Neodiprion lecontei: one gene and its partner. The protein of the gene in region 1 interacts with the protein of each later gene in a pairwise test. Links are inferred from orthologs where the notes say so. Each region holds a gene or a part of one and is shown in the gene's direction. Other genes may lie near its edges. The genes, in order: RNA helicase aquarius and zinc finger protein 830.

Region 1 (5,026 bases):
TTTATATACTGACTTATACCTGCTGATGCTCGACAATGCGAGAAAAACTTGGCGGTGGCAAACGACCCTGTGTATACTTGGCCAGATTACCAATATAGTGCTCATCGCATCGATGTAGGTCCGAATTGTATCCAACGATCAGCATTGCAGGATTGTACGTGGCTTTCGATAAATGTCAAGCCTTGTCGGTTACTGGTATAAAATGAGGGTGACACCAGTCGATCACGTTTTCCGAATACCGCATTGAGGTCAATTTTCACAATTCTTATTGGTTATCTTTCCAATTCCGACAAAGCTAATGTATTACAAGCGAATACTCCTTATACTCGCTGCATTCACAGGCTCACTTATTGAACCCGTTTATGCGGGCCTCGTGTAAAATCGGCTGCGTCAGTCGCAGTCGTAGCTAGTATTCAATAATTGAGCCTCGCATGGATGTTCATTGTGTACCTATACAATAGTCTTTCCCTATACTCATATAAAACGCGCCACGCAGAAAAACAAATTTGTCACATAAGCCTCGAGTTTGTTATTGTCCGCTACAATCGTGTAACGTGTATAGGTAAGTATTGCGACAGCGACAGTAGCGTATGTAACTTAAGTAACATATAAATTGATACTAACAAAATTTCCCACCACTTATCATAAAATCGTGGCAAGTATAATCACCATGTGCAATCCTGGTAGCGATGCGATTGTTCCTGCTGTAACCATTTAGTATAGAAACGTCATGCATATTTGCATTGGAATCGTTACGTTATATATGTATATTCCAGTGATATAATTTCTACGCCCTGCGCCAATTTACTTCCAACTAACCGATAATGATCTTTCTCGCACATTTTTCGGAAGACTACATGGTCTTTCGTAGAAACTGTGTTAACAACAACAACACAACAGTTGATAAATGTGTCAGGTGAAATTAAATCGTATAATGTACGACCGTCCAGTTGTAGTTTCATCATCGAGCGCTGTAGAAGTGACAGGAAAAAAAATCATTGATACCATTACCACGTTTTTCAATCGACGGCAAAACCGAGATTGCTATTGATACTGCAATTTCTTAGCATCTCTACATATGCCGTGAATCTATCTTAAAGTGTGCTGCTCACACTCGCGTTGAAGGTCACTCACGCAGCGGCGACTATCATCTCTACAACTTGTGTGATAACGGTCTGCTGGAAAGAGAAGAAAAAAAAATAAATAATGAAATATAACTGACATTGGACGCGAGATGTCGAGGAGGGGAATCATTTAATATTTTTTAACACTACCGTGGGTTCATTTTATGTGTAGCGATGATAGTAATAAACTTACTATCCAGCTCAGTATGCATAGCGAATTTAAAATGTCTTTTCATTTATGTTGCAGAACAAGTCAACAACTGACCTGATTTCGATGCTCATTGTCGCCACTTACTCCTTCGCCCCTTTAAGCCAGCTGTTCATGCATTATTTCCGTTCCCATATTTCGTGATTCGGTCGCTCGCGCTCATCTGATCGGAAATTGCATATTTTCTGATGGCTTGTAAAACAAACTGAGTATTTCAACTGAGGAAATGTTTCTACCCACCATTATGTCATGTGGTTCCGAAACTAGCCGACGGCGCGCCAACAATCCCCTAGAACTGAGGCGGAGTTACCCACGAACTCGGTAGTGCAAAAGAGATAAACTATAGTTGACAGCACTGTTAGCTAATTTCGGAACGCATCCGTGAGTCCATTCGTGGTGCATGGATATTCCGTGACATCACCTCCCTTGGCAGACCGTGTTTATGGCGTAGACAACAATTGTCTAATAAACCACAATCACAACCGGCGTCAACGTCTGACGATTTCATCCGTTCAATCACGGTCGTTGGTTGATCACAGGGACGAAGTTTGTCTTGTAGGAGTTTAATTTCCTACTCTTACAGCGTTGAAATACTTCATATCTGAAAATGGAAAATCCAGCAGTTTCACTCCTCGTTAAAACTAATAATCCTGCGCCCACGGTCGATCAAATAAATGCCGACAGAATAACACAGGTAGCATAATTGTATCGTATTTTCATGAATTATACACATGCTCGTCTTGTTTTTCATACTCTACCTCGTCGCCATAACAGAGAACGTAACCGAGGTGAATTATACATTACATAAATCATGCGCATGTAATGATACATGCCTGTGCGGTAGCGGCGAGGAGGTTATGTTGACCGGTTGTTTTGAATGCAGATATTAATTCATACGATTTCATTGGGCGGTTACAAAATATGCACTTACATATCAAGTATTCACCTGTATACGTTTCCATTTTCCAGTTGGCCAACAAATATTGGGCACCTCACACAACCAACTCACACCTCCAGTTTGATCCGGTAATCATCGAAGATATATACATACAAGAGATATGTGCTTCAAAGTTTTCAATCAGGCGCATAATGATGCTCGAATTCAGCCAATACCTGGAAAATTATCTTTGGCCAAATTATAGTACAGGAGAAACGTCACACAGTCACATGATGTCGATAGTTGTAATGCTGAACGAAAAATTTCGAGAGAGAGTCCAAGTCTGGGAAGCTTTTTCGAAGAATCCTCAACATTTTCCTGGATTTTTTCAGCAAGTTCTGGAAGCTTGTTTGAACGAGAGTACAATGGATTTTGATCTTAAAGAACAGACGGCGCTTATTGTTTTTTTGAATCATTGTTTCAATTCTATGGAAGTAGCGTTAGTGAGAAATGAAGTTAAGAGGTTGGTGTCATTGTCAATGTGGGTATCACTGCAACAGGGCAGACGTGAGTTTGAGTTTAGAAAGTTTCCCAAGTGGAGAAAATATTGGAAAATTATACAAAAGAAAGATAAGCCAGAGATCAGACAGAAGTTGGACTGGGAGCGGAGATTCCTACAGAGATTGATGGTCAAATTTATGACTATCCTGGAAACTGTACCACTCGAGGGTGAGTCTTTCTATGAGAGAGTTTTTATTCAACGGTTGAGGAGATCAGTATCGTATCTCAGAATTTTATTGGGGAACATTGCAATTCTGGAATGTAATTGCGATTATACGGTAATTGTTTGAAATTTGGATTTGCAACCTTTAATTCTTCAAAGTCCATTTAAAGATGTAAAATGCTGATTTACTATTCCATGTTTTGTTACATTACCGTTACTGATTTTAATCCAATCTCTTCCTTACGATTGGGATGTTGATGGCATCCTTTTCTGTTTATTTTTTTTTTTTTACTGTCATTTATAATTACAACAATTTAACTGGAAATATCGTTTCTCAAACCTTGTGCGTGTTTATACCAAGTTGCCTCATAAACCCAATTTGATTGAAATTATTTTGGTCATTTAATGGGCAAGATCTTTTTTAATTACTATATTTCAGCTGATATACTTACATCGTGCCCTTTTTGCCACATTTCAGGAGCAATTTTTCCCGACAAGATACATTATTGCGAAAGGTTCTTGGAGTTGGTTATCGACTTGGAAGCTCTTCTGCCTACCAGACGTTTCTTCAACACAGTCATGGATGACAGTCATTTGGTAGTACGGTGTCAACTCTCCAACTTGGTGCAACGCCCAGAGGGAGGTCTTTTCAACCAGGTGAGTAATCTTATTCAATTTTCTCCTGTATTACCGTCAGGATGTCGTGTGTGAAAAAGCAACAAACACGGGCAATAACTTAATTGTAACAATGCTCGCACATGTTACACCTGGTATATGCTTTGCACTTTCTAGACACAAATGATTTGGTTGGTACGGTATTCCCTAAAAATAATAATCAATACTTGCTTCTTGGATTAGTCGACTACTACACGACACAAGACGTATGTACAAATACACTTTGACTTCGGTTTGCAGATTAAAAAAATTTTATTCATGTCAATTAATAGATTTAGGTATAAAGATTTGAGATCGCTGCACTAAACAAGTGAGAGCCTTAAAGTGCGTTAGTGTTCTGTAAATATTATCATTAAATATTTCAAAACAAAGGCACTGTGCAAGGTACAGAGTTACTCTTCAATCGATGAGCTTAATCCTAATACTAATTGAGAAATTCCGTTTACTTAAAAATAGATATGCTTCCTCGAAGTTGGAGTTAATTTTTTACAAAACCAGATGACGGGCTAATATATTTTATAATTTGTTTCATCAGTCTCGTGCGACGACTCAAACAGCAAAATGTATAATTAGTTAAGTACTTAGATATGGTGCGATTGCGTCAAAGGATTTGATTATACGATCGAGCTAATTGTAGGAATTGATTGAGATTTATAAAAGTAGTACCCTTGGTGCTGAAATTTGCATCCTTCAAAATGATTGGATAATTTATGTGGATAATCGGCTGTTGCCGACGAAATGTTAAAATCTCTGGATTTGCATTAGTATGGTTGAATGGTAAATACTTGTCAAGTCATGGGAAAAATAGATTCAATTGTGGAATGTAGGTTTCACAAACTCGTTGACAATGAAATTATTAGTCAGCAGTAGGGACTCGGCAATGTGCGACACAGTTATCCCAGATTAATAGCTGTCATTTCTTCACCCCAATCGAGGCCCTGAGCAGTGTCACCTGGGCTGCAACAGTTGCAAGTTTTTCTCAACAAGAAGGTGACTCTTCTTTGACCGAACACGCATACATATAGAATTAGAATGGCTTGTAACAAATTTATGACAATGGAACAGTATTCCAACTCTGATCTCATCCAGGAAAGTAGGGTAAATGACCAGGCAACCCCCATAATAATAAATAGAAATACAAACATTCTGAAACTATACTTCATTTTATGGTGAATTCTGCCATACGTGTTCATTCGTTTCATGAAATTTGTGGTCGTCGCAACGAACCATACATTAAAAATGACACTAAATGCAACGGGCGTAAAAAGAACTGCTACAGCCAGCCACCCTATGGTTTCCTGGGGGGCGTCCGGCACGTCGACTATCATTGGTTTGTTGGTGTCCAACTTGAAGTGTGAGAAAATCGCCATTGTTCCTATAACTGTGGTTAGGGACCACACATAGAGAGAGTAGTAACA
Region 2 (4,630 bases), on another chromosome or scaffold:
CGTGCCCGAGTTTCTCAATTCCATGCAACAAGGTCTTGATTAAAAATTAGTCGCATACGAATTGGCCGATTATCTTCGAAGCTGAATTTTCGGCTATCAGACCTTCGACGATGGTGCAAATCGTTACTAAAACGTTCTTGCCATCGCTGTGTTTCGCATTAAATATCGCTCGATGATCAAAGAGCACAGGAAATAATCGCAGGGTTAAAATTAAATCGCAAGTGGGCCAATGGCGGCCATCTTGATTTGGCGATAGCGCGGCCGAGTTCAGCTCTGAAATGTTGATCGACACTTTTGCTATTATTTATTCATCAGATTTTATAAGCTTTTCAACCGATTTATATCCATGCTTTTTTAATACCGTTATCGAGTCGAATCGGGCCAATTACTTGTCAAATTTTTTCTCCCCACAACTCTTCCACCCTGTAATTAGACGGCGATGTGAAGAGGACCCAGACACGACGGACTGCGCCTCTTTACTTTTTGTCGTCAATTTACCGCCGTAGCAGCAAAAGCAGCAGAAGCAGCAGCTATGCAGGGCACTACAGATATTGGGTTGGTACGCTAACGCCCGAGGCGACGAAGCACTCGACGAATCGTCTATAAGGAGCAATAATGTCGAAAGACGCCATACGTAGCGAGTTCAAATCGCTTCGATCGCCGAGTCAGCAGATGCACAGATACCTCGAATTTCAGTCTAAAACCTCCCTAGACTCGCAGATCTCGAAAGAGGCCGAGGAAACTTTACCGCAAGCTAGTTCTGTACATCGTAGATGTATGTGGTAACTATGTACACATCTTGTCAACAAGGACCCGACCACCTACTACCTTTACATACGCAGCGTTGCTACCTTTGCGTACATGTTGTAAATTTTCCTTATACAACGTATTTCCCTCCAGCTACCTGCGCATTTCGAAAGTTGTTTAATTAATTAAGTAAATTTTGTGCACGGAAGGAACTTCATTATAGCCATAATCTTTTCATCAATATATTATATTGATCTTTTCAAAGATTTCGGGTGAGCTAAATTCTCACCAGAGACGATAAGCTCCAAATCGTTGTTCGAAACACGTAAATGCAATATCTTCGCCTCGAAAAGATGTTCTGTTTTCGCATGTGCGTTTGTACAGTGTTGCCATTGAAAATTTTAAATTTTACGTTTCACAATGGAGGCGATATTTTGCAACGTAGGCATAAATACTCGGTGTACAAATACAGCCGTTCGTAAAATTTTGATAAGAATGGGGCAAAGAATGGAAAACTTTTTAAGCCTATATATCATCGGTTGCGCGGAAAAGTTATCGCTGGAGGGTGCGAGGTGCGAGCGAGTTGTGTGTATACGCATGTATAGGTATGTATACACGGCTGAAGTTCGTTTGACCGATAATCGATACTGTTGCGTTTATACAGCATGTTTCACGTTTTCATTTAATATACGAGTAACGCAGCTTCGTACGACGTATTGATCATACCCAAGAAACCCACGAACTTAACTAATATGTCCCACGCGTGATTTAAGGGTACACAGAACGTGTGCTATTCTCCGTTTCTCCCTCTGGCATTGTCTCTCTCTCTCTCTCTCTCTCTCGCTCTCTTTTTCTCTCTTTGTCATAAATCTAACAAGTTATACAACAACTCCGGAATATCACCGTCATCTGGAATACCCCGTAGTGCGGCGAGAATTAGCTGGTTAAAAAAATTTCACAATTTAATCGTAATTGCGCGATATCGTGTTTTGACATATTTCGACTCCGAATACCCGCTGTGGTGAATTTTTAACTAAAATATATGGCACCATCGAACGCGATGCGTGGCTGATTTAATGCAACCTGCATGTATACTCTCATTTAATATACCAGAAGGTATTAAAAAAAAAATTATAGCCACGACGTACAACAGACGAGAAGCGAGGAGAGAAAGACAATCTTCTCCACTGCAAATTTTTTTTGTCGTAGTAATTTACTCCCGTGATTATTCTCTTTATTTTTACTTGTTTTTACCAGCGCTTTTTGAATAAACTTTAAAGTAGGTTCGCCTGGTTACATGCAGCCTATTCCACCGCCATGGAAGATTACGCATGGTGGCGCTACCTGGCGAGGATTTATGCATCGTTGATTTCTCTGTAGTTAAAATGACGGTCGGTAAGTATGTAGATCCCGTGAGGGTAGAACAGACTGACTAAATCTATCGTAACCTGACAACCTGCTTGACATAATCTCTCACAACCCCGAAAACAACACACAACGTACACATCCTAACCTAATTTTGTTTTAAATCGTAAACTTGGTGATATTTGACAAGATACAAAAACCAGAATCAATTATGTCTCTGAGAAACGTTGGGAAGAAAGTGACGCAGACAGACTTGCGTCGAGTTATGAATGAGCACAAAAAGAAGCTGACCACAGTGACGAGAATCGAATCACCAATCGCAAAATATCCTTTTATGTAAAATAGAATAAACATCATACTTTACGATTTTTGCATCCCCCTCTCATCGCTATAACTTGACACGTATATTTCCTTATGAATGTAAGCACGTACACAGATTCGGGTCAGCTGATATGCATACTCTGCAAGACACTGGTGCGCAGTGAAGCGGTATGGAATATCCACCTGAACTCCAAGATTCACAAAGAAAACATCATCCTCGCAAAAAAGGAACATGTCGAGCCTCCCAAACCTGCTCCGATCGCTCCACACAGTTTTAAACGGCCTACCTCTACTGCGAATGTGGAAGTACCGAGTAAAAAGTTGAAGAGTATTTTGAAAAATGGCCCTGCAGTGTCGTCTGCACTGCCTGATGACTTCTTTGACAAAACCTCCGCACCTAAACCTCCTCGTAATGTTCACGAGGCCAAAACTGAAGTGACAAAGGAATCGGCGGAAAGTGAGGATGTCGAGATGGAAGAGAAGGAGGAGGAGAAGGATCTCAGTCAGGCTCAGCTCCCAGAAGGCTTTTTCGACGATCCTATCATGGACGCTAAGGTGATGTAGACTTGGGTGAAAAGGAGCTGGTGATTGACTAGAAAAACTTTAAATAGTTGAGGCAACGTCACGAAAACTAAATTCTAACGAGCCGATAGATTCTTGGATATACTGTTCAGTGAAAAAGAAATGGTCGACGGTTCAGCCCAAGCGAGAGCTCTCCTCAGAACGGATTATTCAATGTGAATCATCTTTAATGATCTCGGGCCAAAACATCAACCCTATGGATTTTACTTACCCATACATCCAAGAATCTATCATTTCACCAACATTGAGGTCAAGATAGTATTTCCACTAAATTCTACTTCTCAGCTAGTTTCTCACTGTCTTGAATACATTTTCGACAATAACCGTTGCTTGTTTTGATTGTATATTCATATTTAAGGTTTCTTGGTTTCTGCAGGTAAGAAACGTCGAGTACAAAGACCCGATTGAAGAAGAGTGGGAAAAGTTTCAAAAAGAGATTAAAGAGGAGGCTGCACAGTCGGCTCAGATCATAGCGGATGATCAGGAGGAAGCGACGACCGAGAGGCAATTAGACGAAATAGAGGAACAGATGCGACACTGGTCTAGGTGACGAAATCTCAAATAATCTTCAATCACTTTTGTCACCAAACTTTATACGCAATTATTACAGGTTTCTTTCAATTTTCTTACCTTGATCGAATCTGTTGTTTTCTCAGGGTCCTAGAGTTAGAGCGACGCAGGGAAGAAGTGCTGGAGCAGGTCGAGAGAAAGAGCGTAGCTGTAGAGGAGGAAGTTTCCAGCGGAGACGAGGCTGAGTTTGACGAGTTCCTCGATTGGCGAGCTAAAAAATCGTACAAATAATGAATAAATTTGTCACGATATCGCGGAGTGTACATTATTTTTTTCATCTGTAAATACTCTCGTAATTGTCTGTCGTACTCGCAAGGGTATACGAAATTCACGTTGCTTTAGTGTGACAAACAATTCCCCAGTTGTATAGAAATTAAGTCTGAATAATCTGATATGAAAGAAATAAATTTTCATAGAACAGTTTGGAGAAATCGAACTGAGCAATTCTTTACTCAATATAAACTCACTTTTATTGTTATTTTATTCTTTATAAACTTGTCGACCATACCTTGTTTAAAAGCAAGGAGCTCAGCTTCGCGATGCGTTCGTTTAAACACAAAGACCGGCGATCGGCTCGACAAAATGGAGACTGCCCGGAGAAAAATCTTCGATAATTGCGACTAACGCGACGTCATTCGCTTCCGAGACATTTCACGAGTAACACGCACTTCGACGATTCGAAATCCAGAGCCCTCTGATCAGGCTGTGAAAAGAGGCAGGTTCAGTGTGTTCGGTCCAGAATTTGCACGTTCGTTTTAGTACACAAACCATGGACGCTTGACCTTCACGAAGACAGGAATTATTGAAATTAGAAAAGCCTGCGAACATTGAAAGTGAGTTGTTTGTCTCGTTTTCATTGCTGCGGTAAATTTTAGCGTTTACAAGTTCTATTTGGTTTATCGATTCACGTTGGAAGAAACCGGTGATACGACGGATTGTTGAATCGCGCTTCACAATTGTTTATCCGCTCGCGGATCGCGGAACGGTCTGAACATAGCTGCAACAAATTTGTACTTCGCGTCGTTCGCTTTTTTTTTTTCTCTCG

Evidence for each region.
Region 2: the proteins of RNA helicase aquarius (region 1) and zinc finger protein 830 interact in a two-hybrid assay, tested with the Homo sapiens proteins (2 studies listed by BioGRID and IntAct, with this or other methods). The link is inferred for Neodiprion lecontei from reciprocal best matches to the Homo sapiens genes AQR and ZNF830.

The regions. Positions count from the first base shown.
Region 1 is NC_060266.1:126,575-131,600, forward strand, and holds the start of RNA helicase aquarius, read left to right. Parts: upstream 1-1,790; 5' UTR 1,791-1,939; coding exon 1,940-2,026; intron 2,027-2,301; coding exon 2,302-2,938; intron 2,939-3,411; coding exon 3,412-3,590; intron 3,591-3,841; exon of another isoform or gene 3,842-4,501; coding exon of another isoform or gene 4,502-5,026. Other genes in the region: probable G-protein coupled receptor Mth-like 5, read right to left, coding at 4,502-5,026.
Region 2 is NC_060260.1:1,883,896-1,888,525, forward strand, and holds zinc finger protein 830, read left to right. Parts: upstream 1-2,142; 5' UTR 2,143-2,323; coding exon 2,324-2,436; intron 2,437-2,540; coding exon 2,541-2,988; intron 2,989-3,391; coding exon 3,392-3,561; intron 3,562-3,671; coding exon 3,672-3,816; 3' UTR 3,817-4,016; downstream 4,017-4,630.